Arabidopsis thaliana: one gene and its partner. The protein of the gene in region 1 interacts with the protein of each later gene in a pairwise test. Each region holds a gene or a part of one and is shown on either strand. Other genes may lie near its edges. The genes, in order: DEL1 and AT3G11100.

Region 1 (5,639 bases):
CAAGCTCTCAGTAAGTAATTGCCATAAACGTTTACAGAATAGTCTTTAAACAGGACGAACAATTCCAATTAAGTTTCACTCATTTATTTACTTTTGTATATCAGTTGCATACCCTCATATCTCTTGTATCATAGAACATAACTGTGACTGGACATCAACAAAATTGTGAATCAGAGGCTCAGTCCTATAAGTTTGTAATAACGTCCATATATTGCATTTATTTGAAGGCAGCCTACTGGCCGAGGCTAAAAGAACACTCAAAAGCATTTTGGAGCCAACTTTTAAAAAGTTCATTCCATCACCCTATTCTGATAAGATATAAAAGCTCTAGCTAAATAGAAAATAGGAGATAGAGAAACAGAACATACCAGATAAAGCGCATAGTAACGCAAGAACAGTGATTTCTTGCTCACTTGGTCACGAAGCATATGGGAGGCCCGTCTATACTCTCGACAATCAAAATAGGACTTTGCTAAAAGGTAAATGTCACCATCAATCGCTTCATCTTCTTCCGGGAGAGGAGTAGCTGCTTGAGAGAAGCCAACGGAAGGTAACGGTGTTGAAATAGATTCATTGGTGCTGAACCTTCTCCGGATGCTAGAGCTTCCTCGCTGAAACCTCGTATTCGCAGGTGTAAAATTAGACGGGTCTTGCTCTATCCCCACAAGCTGCTCTCCTGCCCTGCAATGATGAAAGCAAAGGAGATATCAAATATGGAACTGACTAATAGTTCACCACCATTGAACTACAATACGAGTACTAAAAACTGAAACTTTAACTCATAATTCACAAATTAGTGTCGAGCTCAAACATATCGAAAGATTGAACCGGAGATCAGAAGTTCCCATCGAAAGAACACATTTTTTCAATTAGTGTCGAGCTCAAACATATCATAACACAAAACCCACATGTCGAATCATCTGAATTGGAATGTATCCAACACCAAATTCGCAACAAAAGTGAATTCGAATCAACGAATCTGCTTAACCAAATTTGTTTACAATTAGCCCAGGATACAAAAAAATTAGTAAAACCCATAAAGGATAGTGAAAAAATCGATTTTTAATCGAACCAGAGCAGTAGCGAGCTAGAGATTGCAACAATGGGAGAGGTTGAATAAGATTAGGGTTTTGAGAAAACGAACCACTTTGCGGCGGAGTATAAACAGCGGTCGCTAAGCTGTCGAATAGCCGCACGTATTTCGTTTCGGCAACACTCTTTAGAGACCATAGCAGAAGCAGAAACTGAGAGTTTAACTTTAAGTATTCAAAAAAGAATCGAAGAATCTCTTCTTCGTCGTGGAGAGAGATTTCAGAAACATTTGCTCCCTCCATCTTAATTATTTTGAAATTTACAGAGAGATCGTGTGTATTGGGCCCATTGATTAACTTTTGGGTTTCAAAATAGGCCCATGAAACTAACATACACACACACACAAAAACTCTTTACACAACTAATTTTAATATCATATCAATTTTGTCACTTTGTATTAATTTCTGTTAGGTATCAATGAATTATTGAAAAAGTGTAAAAATAAAATAAGAATGCAATTTTTTTTTTTTTGTTTTGTCAACAACTTTAAATTAATTGGTTTAGCTCAAATGAGTAAGACCAAAGGTATGCAAAACTATTATAGAAAAAAAAATCTTAGTTGGACAAAATAACCTTTTGTTTTGGTCAATAGAAATTTTTAATGGTAAGACTATAATTTAGTCAAAGATAGACCCTGATTTTGCTTATGCAAGTAGTTAAACACTATCATGAATCTACCATTTTAAGGGCATTACTCTTTACAAGATTACAAATCAAAAGATTTAATCTTTCCAAAACCAAACAAACCATACCAAACCAAAAACAAATTCAGACCAAATCACTTTTAAATCCTACAAAACCAAAATCCCCTTACAACTTTACTTTTTGAGTTCAAGTAAAAAGATAGATATCCAAAATAGATCTTGTTACTATAATATTGATTGAAAATGTATTATTTTGGTTAATGTAATCTAATTTTGGAAAAGAAAAATGAAAAAGTTGAACAGAATCCTGAAAATATTGTAAGAAATTTTCTAAACCGAAAAAACAAAAAGACAAAAACCAAAAAATTGCGATCTGAACCGAGCACAAAACCGTAAAGGTTTCAGCTTTACCAAAATTTAGAGGAGTGTGTAAATGTTACGGAGAAGGAGGAGCCAAAAAATTCAAATTGGCGCTCAAGTATCTTGGGAAATTCCCCCTCTCTCTTTTTAGGAAATCCCTCCAAAATACAATATCAAATTCTCAATCGCAGACATCGTTTGCGTCAACCATGTCAGATCTATCGCCAGAAAGATTCAAACTTGCCGTTACTTCTCCTTCTTCCATACCGGAATCTTCTTCGGCTTTACAATTACACCATTCCTATAGTCGCAAACAGAAATCTCTCGGACTTCTTTGTACCAAGTTAGTGCCTTTTTACTAAACCCATTTTATTTATTTGTTGTTGAATTTGTTCTGATTAGTGTTCTTCGTAAACTCAGTTTCTTAGCTTTGTATAATCGAGAAGGGATTGAAATGGTTGGGCTTGATGATGCTGCCTCGAAATTAGGTATTGCCCACTTTGTGTTTGTGATTTTTATTTTCATTTCTGATTTTACATCTTAATTTGTTGATTGGGGTTTTTGGGGTTTATTTCAGGAGTGGAGAGACGAAGAATCTATGATATTGTTAATGTTCTGGAGAGTGTTGGGGTGAGACTTGTTTCTCCACTACTTTGTTTTTTTTCAGAATCCAGAAGTGTTATGTTTGCTTAATTCGAGTTTTGTCTAATTTAGGTTTTAACAAGAAGAGCAAAGAATCAGTATACGTGGAAAGGGTTTTCCGCAATTCCAGGAGCATTGAAGGAGCTACAAGTGAGTCTTTTCATTTGTTTTGTATTCGGATTCAATCCCATTCAATCCCAATTGTGAAGAAATGTAGCGATTTGATTTGCATATTCTCATAGGAAGTGTTCTTGATGTAGGAAGAGGGGGTTAAGGACACTTTTCATCGTTTCTATGTCAATGAGAATGTTAAAGTAAGTCATTTGGATTTGGTTTCTTTTGATATACTTGTGTCTTTAGTTTGTTGTCTTCATACTTCTAATGCTTAAAGTTTCATACTTTCAGGGATCTGATGATGAGGATGATGATGAAGAGTCTTCTCAGCCTCACTCTAGTAGCCAGACTGATAGTTCAAAACCTGGTTCTCTTCCCCAATCTTCAGATCCCTCCAAAATAGGTACTGTTTCATTTTGTGCGTGTAGTACTTATTGTGTTCGGGTTTAGTGCCATTGCAAAGTAGTTAAGTGATTTACCCTCTTGGTAACTCTATATGTGGGATATGAATTATGAGATGCAATGTAGATATCCTAACATTTTGTTGGTTGGTTATGTATGACAGATAACCGACGAGAGAAATCTTTAGGATTGCTTACTCAGAACTTTATCAAACTCTTTATTTGCTCTGAAGTAAGTGAGAAGTTCAAAGATTCGTTTTTTGAACTAAAGAGTTATTCACTAAGTTACTAAAGATTTGTTTTTTATGTGTTCAACTGTTTAGGCTATTAGGATCATCTCCCTTGATGACGCTGCAAAATTACTGCTTGGTGATGCCCACAATACATCAATAATGCGAAGTAATTATCTTCGTCTTGTGACCTGAAAAGTCTTTTCTTTTATGTTAACATCCTCGGTTGAGACAAATCGATCTGTGTTTGTTGACACATTGATTACTTTTATGCAGCTAAAGTGAGGCGGCTTTATGATATAGCAAATGTCTTGTCGTCAATGAATCTCATAGAGAAGGTAAGTCAAAGTTATCAATAGCTACAACAGTTGTGAACCATCTATGATTTCAAGCTGTGATTTAAGTCTTACTAGTTTCTGTATTCTCTGGTGGCAGACTCACACCTTAGATTCTAGGAAACCAGCTTTCAAGTGGTTAGGGTACAATGGTGAGCCTACTTTCACACTGAGCAGCGATTTGTTGCAATTGGAGTCAAGAAAAAGAGCTTTCGGAACTGATATTACAAACGTCAATGTTAAGAGAAGCAAATCATCATCTTCGTCCCAAGAAAACGCTACAGAGAGAAGGCTAAAGATGAAAAAGCACTCAACACCAGAGAGTTCTTATAACAAAAGCTTTGATGTTCATGAATCAAGACATGGATCAAGAGGAGGTTACCATTTTGGACCTTTTGCACCAGGCACTGGTACATATCCAACTGCTGGTTTAGAGGATAACTCTAGGAGAGCTTTTGATGTTGAGAATCTGGATTCTGATTACCGTCCCTCTTACCAAAACCAAGGTGCATATATTTTATTCACATCCATTTGATATCAAACTTGTCAAAATATTGCTATGAAATTAACTCTGTTTCTGAACAAATTTCAGTTTTGAAAGACCTCTTTTCCCATTACATGGATGCTTGGAAGACATGGTTCAGCGAAGTCACCCAGGAGAATCCATTACCTAATACATCACAACACCGTTAGATCTTCTTTTTCTTCTTCTTCTTCTTCTTCTTCTTCTTCTTCTTCTTCTTCTCTTACCTGTGAACATCAATCATCATTCGTGTAGAGAGCTTCAAGAGTCATTTCTTTTGATCAATGTGGTTTAGTTTCTCCACACAATTGTAACTGCAAGAATCCGACATTAATTCACAGATCGCATACCCTCTTTGCTTTCTGAAGTTTACTGTAGGCTGTAACTTTTGTATGTTACATATAAGAGCATTCATCTTTCGCCAGTTTTTTGCTACTTTTGTATGGCATGTTGTTTTGAGAAAAACAAAAAGAAATATCATCTCATCTTATTTTTCATTTTTTTCAAGAATTTAAAGTAGCAATACCATTTCTCTTACAGAAGGGTCTCTTGCTTTATTGGTATATTCTCATGAGTACATGTTTTAAGGAAATATCAGGAACTAGTGTTTGTCTCAGAGCTTGGAAGGAGGTTTGTACCATCCCCATGGTTCATCAGAGATATACTGAGTCACCTGCTTCACACTCAAGTAGTTCTCAAGTCCCCTGCGACGAAGAAAATATGTTTCAATTCAAATTTTGTTGGTAATCTATTACGGTTTAAGTTACTATGGACACAATTCCATCTAGTTGGAGAGTGTCTTTTTCTAATGGTTTGATAATCTTAATACTTATAGCTAACGAAAGAGACTAACCATTCTCCCAATTCACGGCCAAATCCACTGCGTTTGGTTCCACCCCATGGAGCTTGGCAGAAGCATGGCTGAGAGCAGTTGACCCACACTATTCCCGCCTGGAAAGCCTGAAACACACAATGATTACGATTCATAAAACTTTAGAGATTAAGTTCAATCATGAGGTTATTGATTGTTATTGTTGATAGTAAAAGTTAGATACACACCTTACTAACACGATCACACCGCTCCAGATCATTTGATAATACTGCGCCTGCTAATCCATATCTGCAAATACAAATAAAGTCAGGCATATGATCTAACACGTCATCAGTGGAGTTCTACTTCAAGATAAGAAGAGAAATCTACACTCACTGAGAGTCATTTGCAAGCTGAATTGCCTCATCCTCGGTGGAGAATGTTTTCACACACAGAGCAGGACCAAAGACTTCCTCTCTCCAGATTT
Region 2 (4,450 bases), about 14 Mb from region 1:
GTGAGTAGTGCGAAGAAGAGCACGACGGAGAATAAAGCTAAGGCGAAGAAGAGTGTCCGGCCATGAATCTGGAAGTTCCGGTCGTCGTATTGATTCTCGTGCCAGTACAAAAGCATCGAGGCTTGTGGAGACGGTGAAGATGACGTCATTTTCCGGTTGGCGATGGATGGTTACTTACTTAATTCTGGCCGTTGATATATAGTATGTATAAAAACAGCGTCGTGATGTATATATATAGTATACTAGTGCTAATCTCAGTCACGTGATTGTATTTCCTTAAATAAAATAACAGAAAGAGAATATTAATTTGAGTTAAACAGCTTCCACAAGTAGTACAACTGTCTGTACAAGCAAGACTCAAGTTTGAAGGAAAGTGGGATTTTTTTTTGTTACTTTATATATTGTTTTAATTTGTCTTAATTAGTTTAGGAACAATAATAAAGACTATATTAGGCAACATGCACGTACGTTTGTGTGTTTTCGAGATCCCAATGGTAGCAACTGGCAAGTAGCAACATACTAAAATAAATAGCATTGTTTAATTATGCGTACAAACGAAATTGGCTACATTTTTAGTTGCTTCACCACCTATACTTGATCATGGATTAGCTCGATTACTTGGCTGCAGGATGTGATATTTGATATTATTGTAAAGTGATTTAAGAGTAACAATAATCGATTGCGTCTAAGATTCAGTTGACAAACTAAATTGTTTTACGTTCCAACTCACATCACTTTGATAACCTGTAAATCATGATTTATCTTTTCACATCTGCGTTTTCATAAGAAAGTTTGAAATGTATAAAAGATGCATGTAAACCAGTAAATGATGATAATGACATATTTAGTTTAGAAAACTATATGTAGTGATGTTAATATGGGCTAACCCACCCCAATTAAACCCATCCCATTTAAACCCACTCCATTTAACTTTAAACTCATATAAATCCATTTATTTTTGAAACCCATTTAACCCTACCCATTTAAATTTAGTAAATCCATGTGAACCCATTTAAACCAATTAAGTGAGATATTGCCTTTTATTAATTAATTCATAAACTTAATAGATAAATAACAACAGTCCATAAACATTAGCTAAATCTGAAATATTTATAATTTACTAAAATATAGATTTCAATAACATATAATGATAATAATATTTTCAAATTTGGCAAAAAATATTTTTTTTTGTGATTTTGGCGGGAAAACTTGATTTTACGGTTTTACGGGAAAATGTCGTTTACGGTTTTGGCGGAAATACGTGATTTTACGGTTTTGGCGGAAAACACTTTTTGTGATTTTGGCGGGAAAACGTGATTTTACGGTTTTGGCGGGAAAACGTGATTTTACGATTTTGGCGGGAAAACGTGATTTTACGATTTTGGCGGGTAAACGTGATTTTACGGGTTTGGCGAAAATACGTGATTTTCAATTTTGGTGGGAAAACGTCATTTTACAGTTTTGGCGGGAAAACGTGATTTTACGATTTTGGCGGAAAAACGTCGGTTTACGATTTTGGTGGGAAAATGTGATTTTCGATTTTGGTAAAAAACGTGATTTTGGTGGGAAAACGTAATTTTATGGGTTTTAGCGGAAAAACGTGATTTTACGTTTTGTTTTAAATATATTTAGTATTTTGCTCTTTATTTTAGTTATAATTAAGTTATCTACTTTTTAATAAAAATAACTAATATAAAATAAAACATAAATGGGTACCCATTTGTTTGTGGGTAAACCCATTTATTAAATAGGTTTAATTGGGGTAACCCATTTAACCCCATTTGATATTTTTCTCTAAATGGGTTTAAATGGGTTATTTTTTTTTGCACATACCCATTTAACAAATGGCTATTCAATGCCCAAGTTAACATCACTAACTATATGCTTATTTCTACTAGCTCTTCACCAAGACCATCGTGGAAACTTTGATCGACAGAAAAAACACCTCAGCTCTTTTTTCAAATATTTCAGCGACATTTTAGTAGTTATGAGGAAACAGTAGTAGTTAGGCATGGACTAACATATCAATTGGCGAGACAGCAAAAAGACAATTAGACAAGACACGGCACGAAACATACATTATAGACATAGAGTCTACGACCTAACACGTTTGCGATGCTCTCTCTTATTACCTAACAATTCGCCTGCTTACCTATTTCCTTAATTACATCCCACCATTTTTCACTTCCAAACTTCAATTTGTTACGGCGTAACGTAAATGATCTTGTTACTGGAATACACAAAACGTATAAATTTTCTTAATATTCTGATAACATTTCTTTCTTTCCAATTATGACTTTTAAAAACCACTACCAAAACTAATACAACCTCATATTTACTGTCTTTCCTAGAATACACAAAAATACACGTTATAAGATTTCCTATAATGACATGAACTGATGAGATTCTAGCCCTAATCGTTATTATCAATCAGTCTATGAGTTTAATAATGTAATCTTATCATCATTACCCGTAGAAACGCATTAAAAGAAGCTTGAAATTGACTATAACTAGTAGTAGCCTAGTTAGTAGGACTCTCAATTTATGATTAAACCGGTTTTCGATAACCGTTTTCGATAACCGGTTTTTCAGAAATGAGTGTGATTGATTCGGTTAGCAGAGGAAAAAGAGAGAGGTAGGAGAAAGAAGATAATCGCCGTTGCTGACGTCACCGCCGGTAATCAAAAATCTCTCCTTTAACCGTAATTTCTCTTTTAACTTTACCAAAAATCCGATCCAACAGAAATTCTTATCCTAAGCCTCTTTCTCCACCGCGCACGTTAGCCTCCTCTCTTTCCCACTCCGAGATGGAGACGACGCCGGAGACTCAGTCGAAGACTCACCGTCTACCGGCGGGAAGAGAGGATTGGTGGAGCGAAGACGCTACGGCGACATTGATCGAAGCTTGGGGAGATCGTTACGTCAATCTCAACCGGGGAAATCTCCGGCAAAACGATTGGAAAGAAGTCGCCGACGCCGTCAATTCAAGCCACGGGAATGGCCGGCCAAAGACCGATGTACAGTGCAAAAACCGGATCGATACGTTGAAGAAGAAGTACAAAACTGAAAAGGCGAAACCTTTATCGAATTGGTGCTTCTTTGATAGACTCGATTTCTTAATCGGTCCGGTTATGAAGAAATCGTCCGGTGCTGTTGTTAAATCGGCGTTGATGAACCCTAATTTGAATCCTACTGGATCTAAATCAACTGGTAGCTCTCTCGATGACGATGATGATGATGATGATGACGACGAAGAAGATGATGATGATGCGGGTGATTGGGGATTTGTGGTGAGGAAGCATCGTAAAGTTGAAGATGTAGATTCGAGTGAAGGATCAGCCTTTAGGGAGCTAGCGAGATCGATTCTGAAGTTAGGGGAAGCGTTTGAGAGAATCGAGGGGAAGAAGCAACAGATGATGATTGAATTGGAGAAACAGAGAATGGAAGTTGCAAAGGAGCTTGAGTTACAACGAATGAATATGTTGATGGAGATGCAATTGGAGCTTGAGAAATCTAAACTTGGGAAACGAAGAGCTGCTTCAGGTAAAGTTTTCATTTTTATGTGTGTTTTGTTGTGATTGATGAGTTTACTGAAACTTCAGTTGTGCTTTGTTTGTTGTATAGGTAAGAAGTTGTAGGATTGTAGATTGTGGAGGAGTTACTGATGTGAAGCAAGGAGCAATGGTTGGATCTAAAGCTCATACGATTTGGAGAAGATGTTATTATTATTGATCTTTAGGTTTTCTTAAGTTATAGCGCGATGCTTTTTTTCTTCTTCTTCTTTTTCATTCTCTTTTTTAGCATTGTAGAGTTACATTGGTAGTAGCAATGCGAATTACCAAAAGAACTCTCATAGTATCTGACATATCAAGATGTACTTTTGTGAAGTATCAATGTATGATGGTTTGTGTATCAGTGTCTGCAGTTCCAAATTGTGCTCATCTCTCTTTCTGTGATCTGCAATTACTCTTTTGCTTAGGCAGGTTTCAGGAATGTGTACAGACTTAACAAGATGCGTAGAACGGTTCTGAGGAGAACTCTTATCAGAGTCATTCATAATTCAGTTTGGAATTTGATCAAACCCACCAAGCTATTGATTTGGATGTTTGCTTATGTGACTTTGCTGCACTCTGGAATCTCCAGGACAAGACTCTTGTGGCCTGAGGGAGACGAGTTGACACATGAGGCTGTATTATTGGAGCCTCAAAAAAGAACATCATAGAAGCATATATATCAATGTTTCATGTTTGGTAGAATTTCGGGATGACATAAGCATGTGCTCTCCTATTCATACCTGACTTACAAAGAAGCTCTTCATCTAAAACACCTCACTTTACTCACCTTGGCCTACCACTTGGTCCAAAACTGGTAAGGACTCTGACCTTCCAAGGCTCATCTTGTACCTGAGTTATCTCATCGCATGTGATGGTTACTTTTGAAGTTAAAACCC

What was found.
Region 2: the proteins of DEL1 (region 1) and AT3G11100 interact in binary tests that used the Arabidopsis thaliana proteins (3 or more experiments, as listed by UniProt).

What each region holds. Positions count from the first base shown.
Region 1 is NC_003074.8:17,781,336-17,786,974, forward strand, and holds DEL1 (DP-E2F-like 1), read left to right. Parts: upstream 1-1,995; 5' UTR 1,996-2,305; coding exon 2,306-2,439; intron 2,440-2,516; coding exon 2,517-2,584; intron 2,585-2,673; coding exon 2,674-2,726; intron 2,727-2,810; coding exon 2,811-2,888; intron 2,889-2,998; coding exon 2,999-3,052; intron 3,053-3,143; coding exon 3,144-3,255; intron 3,256-3,417; coding exon 3,418-3,485; intron 3,486-3,576; coding exon 3,577-3,652; intron 3,653-3,759; coding exon 3,760-3,821; intron 3,822-3,918; coding exon 3,919-4,324; coding exon of another isoform or gene 4,325-4,353; exon of another isoform or gene 4,354-4,387; intron 4,388-4,410; coding exon 4,411-4,511; 3' UTR 4,512-4,825; downstream 4,826-5,639. Other genes in the region: APC8 (anaphase-promoting complex subunit 8), read right to left, coding at 369-681, 1,145-1,230; ALDH10A9 (aldehyde dehydrogenase 10A9), read right to left, coding at 4,955-5,045, 5,195-5,301, 5,401-5,461, 5,549-5,639. UniProt on the Arabidopsis thaliana protein: Inhibitor of E2F-dependent activation of gene expression. Binds specifically the E2 recognition site without interacting with DP proteins and prevents transcription activation by E2F/DP heterodimers.
Region 2 is NC_003074.8:3,475,678-3,480,127, reverse strand, and holds AT3G11100 (sequence-specific DNA binding transcription factor), read left to right. Parts: upstream 1-2,227; 5' UTR 2,228-2,807; coding exon 2,808-3,543; intron 3,544-3,624; coding exon 3,625-3,638; 3' UTR 3,639-3,941; downstream 3,942-4,450. Other genes in the region: AT3G11110 (RING/U-box superfamily protein), read right to left, coding at 1-149.